3 linked regions of the Macaca fascicularis genome follow. The protein of the gene in region 1 purifies or fractionates together with the protein of each later gene. This does not show direct contact. Links are inferred from orthologs where the notes say so. Each region holds a gene or a part of one and is shown on either strand. Other genes may lie near its edges. The genes, in order: KDM5A, MORF4L2 and ZMYND8.

Region 1 (3,749 bases):
CAAAAAAAAAAAAAAAACCCAGGAGGTGGAGGCAGAAGTGAGCCAAGATCGTGCCACTGCACTCCAGCCTGGAAACTAAAGAAATTTGCCAATACTAAAATTAAATTCTGATTGTAAACAAGATTTATTTTCAATAATGTGACATAAAAAGAGAAAGCATTGGCCGGGCGCGGTGGCTCACGCCTGTAATCCCAGCACTTTGGGAGGCCGAGGCGGGCGGATCACAAGGTCAGGAGATCGAGACCACGGTGAAACCCCGTCTCTACTAAAAATACAAAAAATTAGCCGGGCGCGGTTGTGGGCGCCTGTAGTCCCAGCTACTCGGGAGGCTGAGGCAGGAGAATGGCGTGAACCCGGGAGGCGGAGCTTGCAGTGAGCCGAGATCGCGCCACTGCACTCCAGCCTGGGCGACAGAGCGAGACTCCGTCTCAAAAAAAAAAAAAAAAAAAAAAAGAGAAAGCATTATTTCAACATTTTTTAAGTTAAAAAAAACTTTTTTTTTAATCGAAGTAACCGTGAATAGAATTTCTAATTAATAAATTCAAGAGTAGATGAAAATACGACTTAGGAAAACCTTCAATGCTTAAGATTTGTTAATATTAGGTAATTATGATAGAAAAAAAGGGTTAAATGGAAGTTTTTGGAGGATGGCAATGCATATCATCACAGCAATTATTTGTTAATCCTCTGCTTGCAACGAATAGTCTATAACCTTAAACTCATTCTACATGGAGCATTATGTCTGTTTCAGAATCAGAAAAACCGATCTAGGTTCAAAATATACTTTGCCACTTGCCCAAGATAACCCATCTGGTGTTTTAACTTATCCAGATTAATCTTATCTGTAAAAGGTGGACTTCATTTACCTATCAGGGCTTCAAAGATTAAAGCAAACAATCTATAGGTGTTAAATTAGCTCCTCCTCGCTGTCATTTAAGTTTTTAATTCGCTGCGGTGCCTATCACTGTGGTAGTCAGTGGTGACGGCAGATGCTTTTTAAAATGCAACACTGGTTAACAGTGCTTAATATTTTATCATTACCAATACTAGACAAAACATAAAGCAAAATGCCTTTAAGAAGCAATGACTAAAGCAATGGTTCGAAAACCTCAACTTACATGAAGAATCATCTGAGACTAGTTGCTAGAAAAGCAGATTCCAGAACTTCCACAAGAAGCCTAGAGATCTGCATTTAAATAAGCATCCAGTTGACCCAGGTGCAAGTGGTCCCGCAACAGCATTTAAAAAGCACTGATCTAATGAGTAAAGAAAAACACCTTTTGACCTTGAGCATCTCACTCAATCTCTTGGGGCATTAATCCCCTCCACACAAGGGATAGTACCTACTTTCCTTACCTCAATGTTGAGATTATAATTAACCTTATAGGCAAACCTAGTTATCTGCAATAACTGTGATTCTAAAATCGTTGATCTTGAGTTCCCTATGTCAAGAGATTTCAACATTTCCTCCCGCCTCCATTATAGATGAATTCTTCCTAAACCTCTCAATTTTAGAATTATTGCTGCTCCTCTTTCCCCGGTAAGACTTTCTCACTGCAGCAATGATTAGTCTGGAGTTCTATGTCTATAATACCATCTGGTGGAACTAGAGCTCAGATTACCTTTTCAGAAACCCTAGCCCTGAGAGGAGGCCTGCAAATATTTGATCCAATCAGGTCTTGAATAGAGATAGCCGACTATCAAACCATAATGAGGATACGTGAGGGAAGAATGTACTTTAATTAAACCTCATATTGGCTAACGAAGGGCTTTAGGCCCACAGCGGAGAGAAAAGTATCAGTTCCCAAGTTCTAGGCGGAAGACCCCAGAGACACCACTTTCTCGCATTCAGACGTGTCTACATAAGACCACAAAAGAAACCGAAGCAGAAACATCCAGAAACAGGCTCCGGTTGTCTCAACATAAAGGAGAGTACATACGAAAGGAGAGAAGGATCGGAAAAGTAAGGCTAAACCCAGTGCACGGACTCCCCCCTTCTTCCTTCTCCCCCTCTCTCTCCACAGACTGAGGTACCTTGGGCGGCCGAATTTTGCAGATGCCGGTTTTCTCCGCCAAAGGCCGGATGCGGCCGATAAAGCTGAGCGGATCTGTGAACTCCTCCCAGCTCGGCTCAAAGACGGGGCACTCCGGGGGCGGCACGAACTCGGCCGCGTAGCCCCCCGGCCCCACGCCCGCCATTGCAGCGGCCGGGGGGGGGGTCCCCGTGGGGAACCGGTGGAGAAAAGCTGGCTGAAGCCCACTGAGCCCGTTCACGTCCCCTGACTGGGGCCGAAGCGCATCTTCGCGGAAAAGAACCGCTCAACACAGACACCCCAGAACCGCTTCCTCCTCCCGTTTGTTATTGTTTCTTGCAAGGCTTTTCCTCTGAGGGTCAGGACTTCTCCGGAAGTTACTGTGCTGTCAAATCCCTCCGCCCCCGCAGGAAACGGAATCCTTCCGCAGCGGCGCGACGCCCGGGTATCTGGCCCTTCCTCCTTCTTCTCTTGCCCGGCAGCCCGGTGTGGCTGTTTCTCTCCTTGCCTGCCAAAGTTCTGCCCAGTCCAACGACTCCACGCGGCTCGCCCTGGGTAGGGGGTCGGGGAGAGGCGCAATCTCTCCTTCACTAGAGGTGGGGACAGAGCCAGGCCGACGGGGCGAGGCGAGGCGCGACGTGTTCTTCCGGCGCGGAGGAATGTGTAATGCCCCAGAGGGCAGAGGTTGTGCTTCCGGTGAGGAGGGTCCCTTTCCCTTTTGTGTGTCGGTGTAGTCGAAATCACGCAGGGCTTAGCGTTAGCCCCCCAGCCTCGCCGCCCGTGCTTCGTGATTTGTTTTAACCTACCCTGCTGCGTTTCTAGCAAGTAGCCGTTCCAGCATTTCTCTTTTTTTTAGCCCTTTGAATGCAGGTATTTTACAGTAATCTCACTCTGCCACTTTATAGCCGCCTCTTCTCCAGGAAAACAAGTGCAGGTCTAACCCATCCCCTAAATCCTGCCAGCTGGCTTTAGCCACCATCCAGGAATTGCTTTTCCTTTTACACAGAACACAGCAGCTCTTCTGAATTACCAGCCAGTACTGTCTAGCTACCTACAGGACATCTCACTCTGATAACTCAAAGTACTTTAATTGGTCACTATTTCTTCAGTGTTCCTGGTTTCATTAATACCTTCATCTATTCAGTTGCCTGAGGCAAAAAAAAAAACAATCAAGAAATAGTCCTCATGCTTTCTGCTCTCACTTCCCATGTATAATCGTGTGTCTCTCCATCCTTGTTACCAGTATCCTAATTTAAATACTCTTACTGACAACAGCTCATTTCTTTTCTCCTCTGAAATTCCTCTCCATTCTCAAGTTGGATTGCTTTGTCTAAAATCCAGAATTCATCTTGTCACTTTTCATCTCCAAACTCAACAACTCCAAACATCTTTTTTAATTGCTGATTTGCTGCTTTACTCTCCAGCTTCATCTCTACTGCTTCTCCATATGATCTACAGAAGTCTTTGTTGTGACTTTAGTACACCATGATTTTTCTCACCTCTGAGCCATCACACATATTTCCTCTGTCCAGAACATTTTTGTACTCTGCTGACCCAAAATCATTTGTATCATTATATCCCCTTCCTAAATTTCTACTCATCCTTCATTTAAATAAATATGAAGGATTAGGCTGAGCAAATCTGTGAACTGTGAACTCCTCCTTCATATTTATTTAAATAATATTTATTTAAATAATAATAAATAATATTTATTTA
Region 2 (3,749 bases), on another chromosome or scaffold:
TATAAGATAGATAATTGAAAGGGGTATGATTTTTGTTGTTTGACTTTGATCTAGTACTGCTCATCTAATAAGGACTTGGTGATAAATTTAAAAAAAAATCGACATGAAGGATATAACACAGCATCTAAAATATAGAAAGCATACAAAAAACTGAGGATCACAGAACATAAATCATTTGCCCAGGGTACTGAGACTAGTAAGTGGTGGAATGAGGTTAACAATTAAGTCTCTTTCTCTCACTCCAAAGACACAATAAAATCTACCAATACCACTACAGAAAATAGGGTGCAAACACACATATCTGATACAAATTTCAAGAGAAAAGGAAAATCAGTTTTCTTTTTTTTTTTTTTTGAGACGGAGTCTCACGCTGTTGCCCAGGCTGGAGTGCAGTGGCGCGATCTCGGCTCACTGCAAGCTCCGCCTCCCGGGTTCACGCCATTCTCCTGCCTCAGCCTCCTGAGTAGCTAGGACTACAGGCGCCCGCCACCGCGCCCGGCTAATTTTTTTGTATTTTTAGTAGAGACGGGGTTTCACTGTGGTCTCGATCTCCTGACCTTGTGATCCGCCCGCCTCGGCCTCCCAAAGTGCTGGGATTACAGGCTTGAGCCACCGCGCCCGGCCTTGGAAAATCAGTTTTCAATACCAGGGTCCAAGTTTTACTGATGAGTTCTTATCTCTTTACTAAAGTAACAGCTATCTGTATTTTCAGTTTGGGTGAGTTGCGAGCATTTGAAAAGTTGAGGAAAAAGGGTTAGGATCTTCAGCATCAGTGCTTGGGTCATTCATTAACTCTTTGATTAAACAAGGCAAGGACAAAAGAAGCGAGGGATGGAGAGGGGCCTTCCCCCCCGCCCCCCCACCCAAGGAGAAAAGGAAAGAAATGAGTAAAATTATTTGGATCTTGGGTCACAGTTCCCTGCCTACTAGTGCTATTCACAGAAGCTGATTTTATTTTTTCCTAGGAATGAACGATATCAATGATGCCTTAGATATTAGCGTTCAGCAAATCAAGAAAGGGGAGGGGGGAGGGAAACAAAATCCCAGAATCCCAGGGACCACACAGCCAATCCTTTGCTGGGATTTGGCGGCATCTAGTGGCGAACTCGAGAGGTATAAACCTTACCCACAGAACTTTCTGGAAAATTAACAGTGCGTATTTGCCTGAAGAAGGTCAGTGTGCTTGCTTGGAGATCAGAACGCAAAGGTAAGAGCGCCCTAGTCACCATAAAAATCCGGAGTCTCTAACGGAGGGGAAGGCTGTCATAGATAGATATTCTCATAGGAAAATTGTATTTGTGCCAAGAGAACTGCACGCAACCTTGAAGGGAGGGGGGAGGTGTGGAAGAGGGGAGGGAGGAGGATACTAGACAACTTGAAAGAAGTCTCCCTTTGGAGTTGCTAATGTGACGATGGAAGGCTTTGGCTCTGAATCATTGGAGGGCTGTGGTTTACGACCGGATTTTGGCACAGAGGAGTATTTAAATCAGGGAAAGCCAAAATATTTCTGACAGTGCCCCTTTATCTCTGTTATTGTCGCCTTGCCTTAATTATTTATTTTCCTTTTCATTAGAACATTTTCAAACAAAATACAGAAATAGATAACCTGCGCGCAGTAGCTAACCCCTCCCCGCAACTCCCACCCCAATCACGCACGCGGGCGCGCGCCGTGGCTCTCACCAGTCCAGACGCCAGGGGCGCACGCCTGCGCAAACACATCACCTCCAGCGCCACGAGGGCCGCTCACACAGCAACCCCAGGGGCACTCGAGCCTGCCCGCGCACTAACACACTGGCCTTAATGCCTTGCGCCCGTTGCACTCACGACCCTAACTCGCAAACACAGCAGAACCCCCCACTGCGCCTTTTTTTTCCATGTTCGGGGAGTTGCGCCACAGGCCTGGGGGCGTGGCTCCAGATTTGACCTCGCGCTTCCCCACTCGCGGGAACCTTAGCTCATTTCCGCCTATTTCCGCAGGCCACGTAGACACTTCCTCTCCCAGTGGGGGGCTGGGGGGAAACACAAACCCATAATGCCTCCCTGCAGGAAAAAAATTAAAAAAAAAAAAAAAAGGAAAAGGAAAAAAAAAAAAACCTTCTGGTCAGAGGAACTCTGGGTCGTGAAATAGGCCACGTGAACATTCTGCCCTATAGACTTATGACCCAACGGCTGTCACGCTTTTGGAGGGCGGGCTAAAAACCTAAGAGGGCGAACGTCATTGGCCGGAACGCGCACTGACGGAGGAAGAGGATTGGTTTGCTGTAGGCCTTAACAGTGAAGAAGCAGGTTGCTAGCACCCGCCTTTACTGCGGCGAAGTGTCATTGCTGACGTGGGGGTGGTTGTCCAATCATTTGGTTATGGAACATTCTAAAACTTAGACAAGACGATTGTGATTGGCTGAAGGGCATACGCCCTCCTCCAGGGTGACGTGTCTGCCTATGGATATCAGTTGCCAGAGAAACCTGGCTTTACTATGGCGGTTGGAGGAACGGCAGTGATCACACGTCGTCTGCTGGGAAGATCTGGATTCTCGTTTCAGGTTTCGGGGTGGGGGTGGGGAGAAAGGGTCGATGATTTCCTCTTTTCGTCGGGTATAGACGGGATTAGCTAGTTCCTTCACAATCGGTCAGAGCTGGATTCAGATTCCTGCTCGCCAACGCCCAGCTTGGGCAAGGCTCCTGTTCTTTCTGTGTCTCGGTTTCCATGTTTGTAAAATGGTGATAATAATAGTATCTACCTCAGAGACGTGTACTGTATAATGGTGCGTATAAGGCACGTAATATGAAGCCTGGCCCCTGAAGATATTAGCTATTGTTATGGAGATAAATAATACACGTAATAGAATGAGAAAAATTATAAATTATATAAATTCGCTAATTGTAGTGCCCTTTCTGCCATCAACTTCTTTCCTAGAATAAATTAAAGATAAAAGAGATATATCAATTTTTACCAATGAAATAATTTGCTCTTTGGGAATTGCCTCAAAATTGCAGAGATTGTAATTTTCCCATGTTGAAAAGTTAAATAAAAGGTGGGGGGGTGGAGTGCGAGAAAGAAAGAGATGGAGAACGAGAGCGAGCTGGAGATGAACCACATGCGATGAGTAGGCCTTGTTTGGATCCTGAATCGAACACACCAACTGTAAAAATATGTTTAAGACGCATCGGGAAAATTGGAACATGGATTCGATATTTGATGTTTTTTAAGGAATTGATGTCAATTTTTTTAGGCGTCACAGTAGTATTGTGATTATGTTTTCAAATTGTCCTTTTTTGTAGAGACATATACGAAAATATTTACGGATTAAATAATATAATGTCTGGGATTGGCTTCTAAATACATTAATGACTAGGATTTGCTTCAAAATAATCTAAGCGGTAGGGGGAAATGGGGAGGGGTATAGATGAAACAAAATTGACCCTAAATTAATAATAGTTTTTGCTGAGTGATAGGCAGTGGGTTCCGTATATTAATCTGCTTTCCTTGGTATACGTTTAAATTTTTGTATAATAAAATACAGAAGTCAGATATTCCCGTGAGCTTGAAAAAGTCGGGGGTGGGGGGGAGCAGTGGGTGGGGTTATAGATGAAACAAGATGGCCTTCAGTTGGTAATTGTTGAAAGCTGGATGATGGATTCGTGTAGGTTTGTAATACTATTCTTTTATTTCATCCATTTGAAATTATCTTTAAGGAAAAGTTAAAAAAATTGTCAGAAGTTATATAAATATACAATAAGTTAAATTTGAA
Region 3 (3,649 bases), on another chromosome or scaffold:
CCTTGACTGCTCCAGGGTCTGTCTTCTCGCTGGCTGGTGATGTGCTTTTCAGCTCCTCTTTAATCTCCACTGGGTTTGTAGGCTTGGGCTTTTTTTTAACAGCAGATGGCTCTTTGTCCATCCGACAACCCTCTTTGTCCTCTGTGTCTTCTGGCTCGTTCTTGGACTTCTGCTCATCATCACTGATATACTCACTATCGCTACTATCTGACTTCTCAGAATCCTCCGAATCGCTGTGCTCTACGGCCGTATAAACATCTTCCGAGATTTCATTTATGCCTAAATTCAAAAAGAAAACCCAGCATGTGGCGTAGTCACAAAATAAAGAGCAGGACGAAAAATGCAAACACTTTCCACAGCAAATGCTGGAATAAGAAAAGCACATTTCAAATCATATCACATTGGCCTGAATGGGGCCAGTAATAAACCCAAGTGGCAACTGGCTGTGGCTGCACTTGCCTTTGGAGAGGGTTTTGGGTGTTAACATTCAAAGGAGACACAGGACCTACCAACAGAAATTTTAAATTTATATGGCGCTAAATATGTGGTGCCAAATTTTCGCAACGTTGATAACTAATTGGGATTACTGAGAATGAGAGGGCTGGAAGGGAACAGCAGGGATAAGCTGTTCAAACTGATCCAGTTTACAGATTAGAAAACAGAGGCCCAGGGATATCACCTGCCCTAGGACACAAGACAGAGGCCAGGCCAGTACCCTGCGTTCGTGGCTCCCCACCAACACTCTTCCCTTGGGTTTCCAAAGCGTTAAAGTTCTTGATCCTTTGTGTCTAGGCCAAAGAAAATAAGCCAAAGCCTTAAAGCAGAGGTTGCAAACAGCCCACAAGCCACATCTAGCTTGCAGACATGTTTCATGGGAGAGGCACTGGTTTGCTCCACAGGGTATCTTGTCTGCTTTTAATTTATAAATGTGTTGTCCAATTCACAAATGAGGAAATTTCACATAGAAATCAAAGCAGGGGCTTCTGATGAAAGAGCAGAAAATCTAGCTGCTCTGGGTCACCGGCCTGCCAGGCATTGGCTGGGACAGGAAAGCCAATCGCTCCACTAGGCAGGGGACACACTTGTCTCCAGGTGACCCGGGTGCCCGGCCCTCTCTCTTGTTCCCTGCACTCATGTGGAAAGTCAACTGCCACTCGGTGTGCACTGCTCTTCCACTGGTAAAGGAGTCAGGAGAAAAGTCACATACTTCTGTTTCTTTCAAAAGGGAGAAGCACAAACTAGCAGGTATTTCACAAACAAAATGGGCAAAAGCACATTTCTAACAATAGTTCCATTTAACCCATTTATGGCTCCTGCTCCCAACCATATGTTATGCCATCATACTGTAGGAGATAATACTATATCCTAAACTTTTGGAAAGAGGAAAGAAAACCCAATCAAGTCTGTGCAATCTCTTCATTCCAGAGCAATGGCCACTGTGAATGGTGCCACTGTCCGACCCAGACACACCAAAAAGAAACCTGCAAAAGTATCAGAGCCATGAACAGCCCAGGGCATGGGGGATCAGCAGGATCACTGGGGAATATATCTGCCTCCACCAGGGTTCAATCAAAAACACAAGTCCAGCCAGGCACAATGGTGTGCACCTGTGGTCCCAGATATTCAGGAGGCTGAAGCAGAAGAACTGCTTGAACCCAAGAGTTCAAGGCTAGCCAGGGCAACACGGGAAGAACACAAGCCAAAATACAAACACCCAGATCTGGTATAAGTCTGGGATCCTAGGCTTGCGCTACTGGTAGCTAATGATTGGAAACAAGAACGAAAAGTGTAACCACATATGTGATAGGAAAAGCTTGGGTACTGGAGTCCAAAGGACATGAATTCAAATCCTGCTCTTCTGTTTTTATTATTGGTTGACCCTGAACAAGTTATTTATCTCTCTGAGCCTCAGTTTCTGTATCTGCAAAATGGGACTGATAAAGTATCAACCTCCCAAGACGATCTATATGCAGTGCTTAGCATAGTGTCAAAGGAAACACTCAGTAAATAGAAATAATACAATTCTTATTAGCAATAAAAATAAATCAAGAGCTGGACCAGCTGCATGGAAGGACCCAAGAGGATAATTTAAATGGCATGCCAAATTTCACCCATGCCACCCAATGTCCTCACCAAACAGGCAACCCAATGGGAAGTGGTGTCCTCTGGACAGCCCCAGATGGTCCCTAACTCTAGCTGCTTTCTCACCTGAAGATGCTCAGAGAAACTTGCTCTCTAGGGGCCCAGCCATCCCTAACTTCTTTACAAATGCCCTCCTAGCTTTACTTACTTATTCAACAAACATTCCAGAGCATCTACCATGTGCACAGACCAAGTACCATAGAGAAGGCAAATCCTCATAAAACAGCCTCCCTGCCCTCAAGGAGCTTCCAGTCTAGATTGGGAGGGACACCTCCACACAAAGGGAACGTTGCTACTTCTGAGCAATAAAGTACCAAAGGAGGAGGGCAGATGGGGAGGGCAGTCAGGGAAGACTTCCTGGAGGAGGTGAGATCTGAGCTCAGCCTCACAGAAGGCAGGATTCAGGTAGGCAGTATGAAGGCAGGCAGCACAGGGAAGAGGAAGGAAGGCAACAGCTACAGAAGCAGGGTTTACCAGGTAGGGAGGAGACCAGTCTGGAGGGAAAGGGTTTCGTGTCGGACACCTGCAGAACACACTGACTACTCGTGTGGAGACACTGATGTGTACTGAGAAGGAGAGCAGAGGCAAACTCAGAAGATCCTCATTCTGCTCGTAAACCTTGATGCTTCAAACCTGTATCTTGAGTTTCCAGGCTGCTTTCACCAAAGAATAAACTGATGAGTTCAAAGAGCCCCGAATTAACTATCAAGTCTGAAGTCTTTTGCCATGAGTGGAAATATATTTTAGCTGAGCAAATCGTTCAAAGTTAAAGCAGCTGCTAAAAGCAGCCAGGATTCAACCTTGATTTCATCAGGGTAGTATCCCTACCAGTAATGGTAACAATGATACTGCTGGGAAAAAAAAAAAAAAAACCAAAGATATACCTAATTGTGCTTTGCAACTCTCTATGGTCTTGTCAAGATTCAGCTGGAACCTGCTACGAATCTGGCGCTTGGGAGAGATGAGAGGAACAGGGGTGGACTGTTGCTGGACCGACTCGCTCAGCTCCTTCAAATCCATTTCGGCTTTGCTTCGATCTGAAAGAGACCATCACACCCTCGTAAGACCAGGCACACACCATGCTCATCACAGAGCTTTGTCCTTGCAAAGTCAGAGCAAAACACACATTTTAGAACATGGGGAGGGGGGATACTTTTTTTGTCATTCGTCCCAACAATATCATCTGCTCAACCACATGGGGTGACATGAAGATAATGGCCCGCGTGAACATGTTTGGCAGGTTTAAACAGTCCACTGAACAATCGTCTGGGTGACTTTCAATATTTAAAATGGACAATCCCAGCCAGATGGCTCAGTGTGTGGAAGTCAACACCAGTAGGGACCCTCCAAAGACAAAGGTTACGGGCAGATATTCAATCTCAATTTCAGTGAACAAAGCAACACCGAGCCTGGTCAGGGTGCACTTATAACTTCAGGTCCAGATTGAAGAGGACTTGTATCCCAAGAAAGATGGCGACCCCCTCGAAAACACCCTGACAATTGGGGG

The links.
Region 2: the proteins of KDM5A (region 1) and MORF4L2 purify together in Homo sapiens (affinity purification with mass spectrometry; 4 studies listed by BioGRID and IntAct, with this or other methods). This does not show direct contact. The link is inferred for Macaca fascicularis from reciprocal best matches to the Homo sapiens genes KDM5A and MORF4L2.
Region 3: the proteins of KDM5A (region 1) and ZMYND8 purify together in Homo sapiens (affinity purification with mass spectrometry; 3 studies listed by BioGRID and IntAct, with this or other methods). This does not show direct contact. The link is inferred for Macaca fascicularis from reciprocal best matches to the Homo sapiens genes KDM5A and ZMYND8.

What each region holds. Positions count from the first base shown.
Region 1 is NC_088385.1:1,144,827-1,148,575, forward strand, and holds the start of KDM5A (lysine-specific demethylase 5A), read right to left. Parts: upstream 2,388-3,749; 5' UTR 2,200-2,387; coding exon 2,035-2,199; intron 1-2,034. UniProt on the Homo sapiens protein: Histone demethylase that specifically demethylates 'Lys-4' of histone H3, thereby playing a central role in histone code. Does not demethylate histone H3 'Lys-9', H3 'Lys-27', H3 'Lys-36', H3 'Lys-79' or H4 'Lys-20'.
Region 2 is NC_088395.1:110,058,388-110,062,136, reverse strand, and holds the start of MORF4L2 (mortality factor 4-like protein 2), read left to right. Parts: upstream 1-1,148; 5' UTR 1,149-1,207; intron 1,208-1,680; exon of another isoform or gene 1,681-1,695; intron 1,696-2,471; exon of another isoform or gene 2,472-2,540; intron 2,541-3,749. UniProt on the Homo sapiens protein: Component of the NuA4 histone acetyltransferase complex which is involved in transcriptional activation of select genes principally by acetylation of nucleosomal histone H4 and H2A.
Region 3 is NC_088384.1:103,301,081-103,304,729, forward strand, and holds part of ZMYND8 (MYND-type zinc finger-containing chromatin reader ZMYND8), read right to left. Parts: intron 3,180-3,649; coding exon 3,027-3,179; intron 280-3,026; coding exon 1-279. UniProt on the Homo sapiens protein: Chromatin reader that recognizes dual histone modifications such as histone H3.1 dimethylated at 'Lys-36' and histone H4 acetylated at 'Lys-16' (H3.1K36me2-H4K16ac) and histone H3 methylated at 'Lys-4' and histone H4 acetylated at 'Lys-14' (H3K4me1-H3K14ac).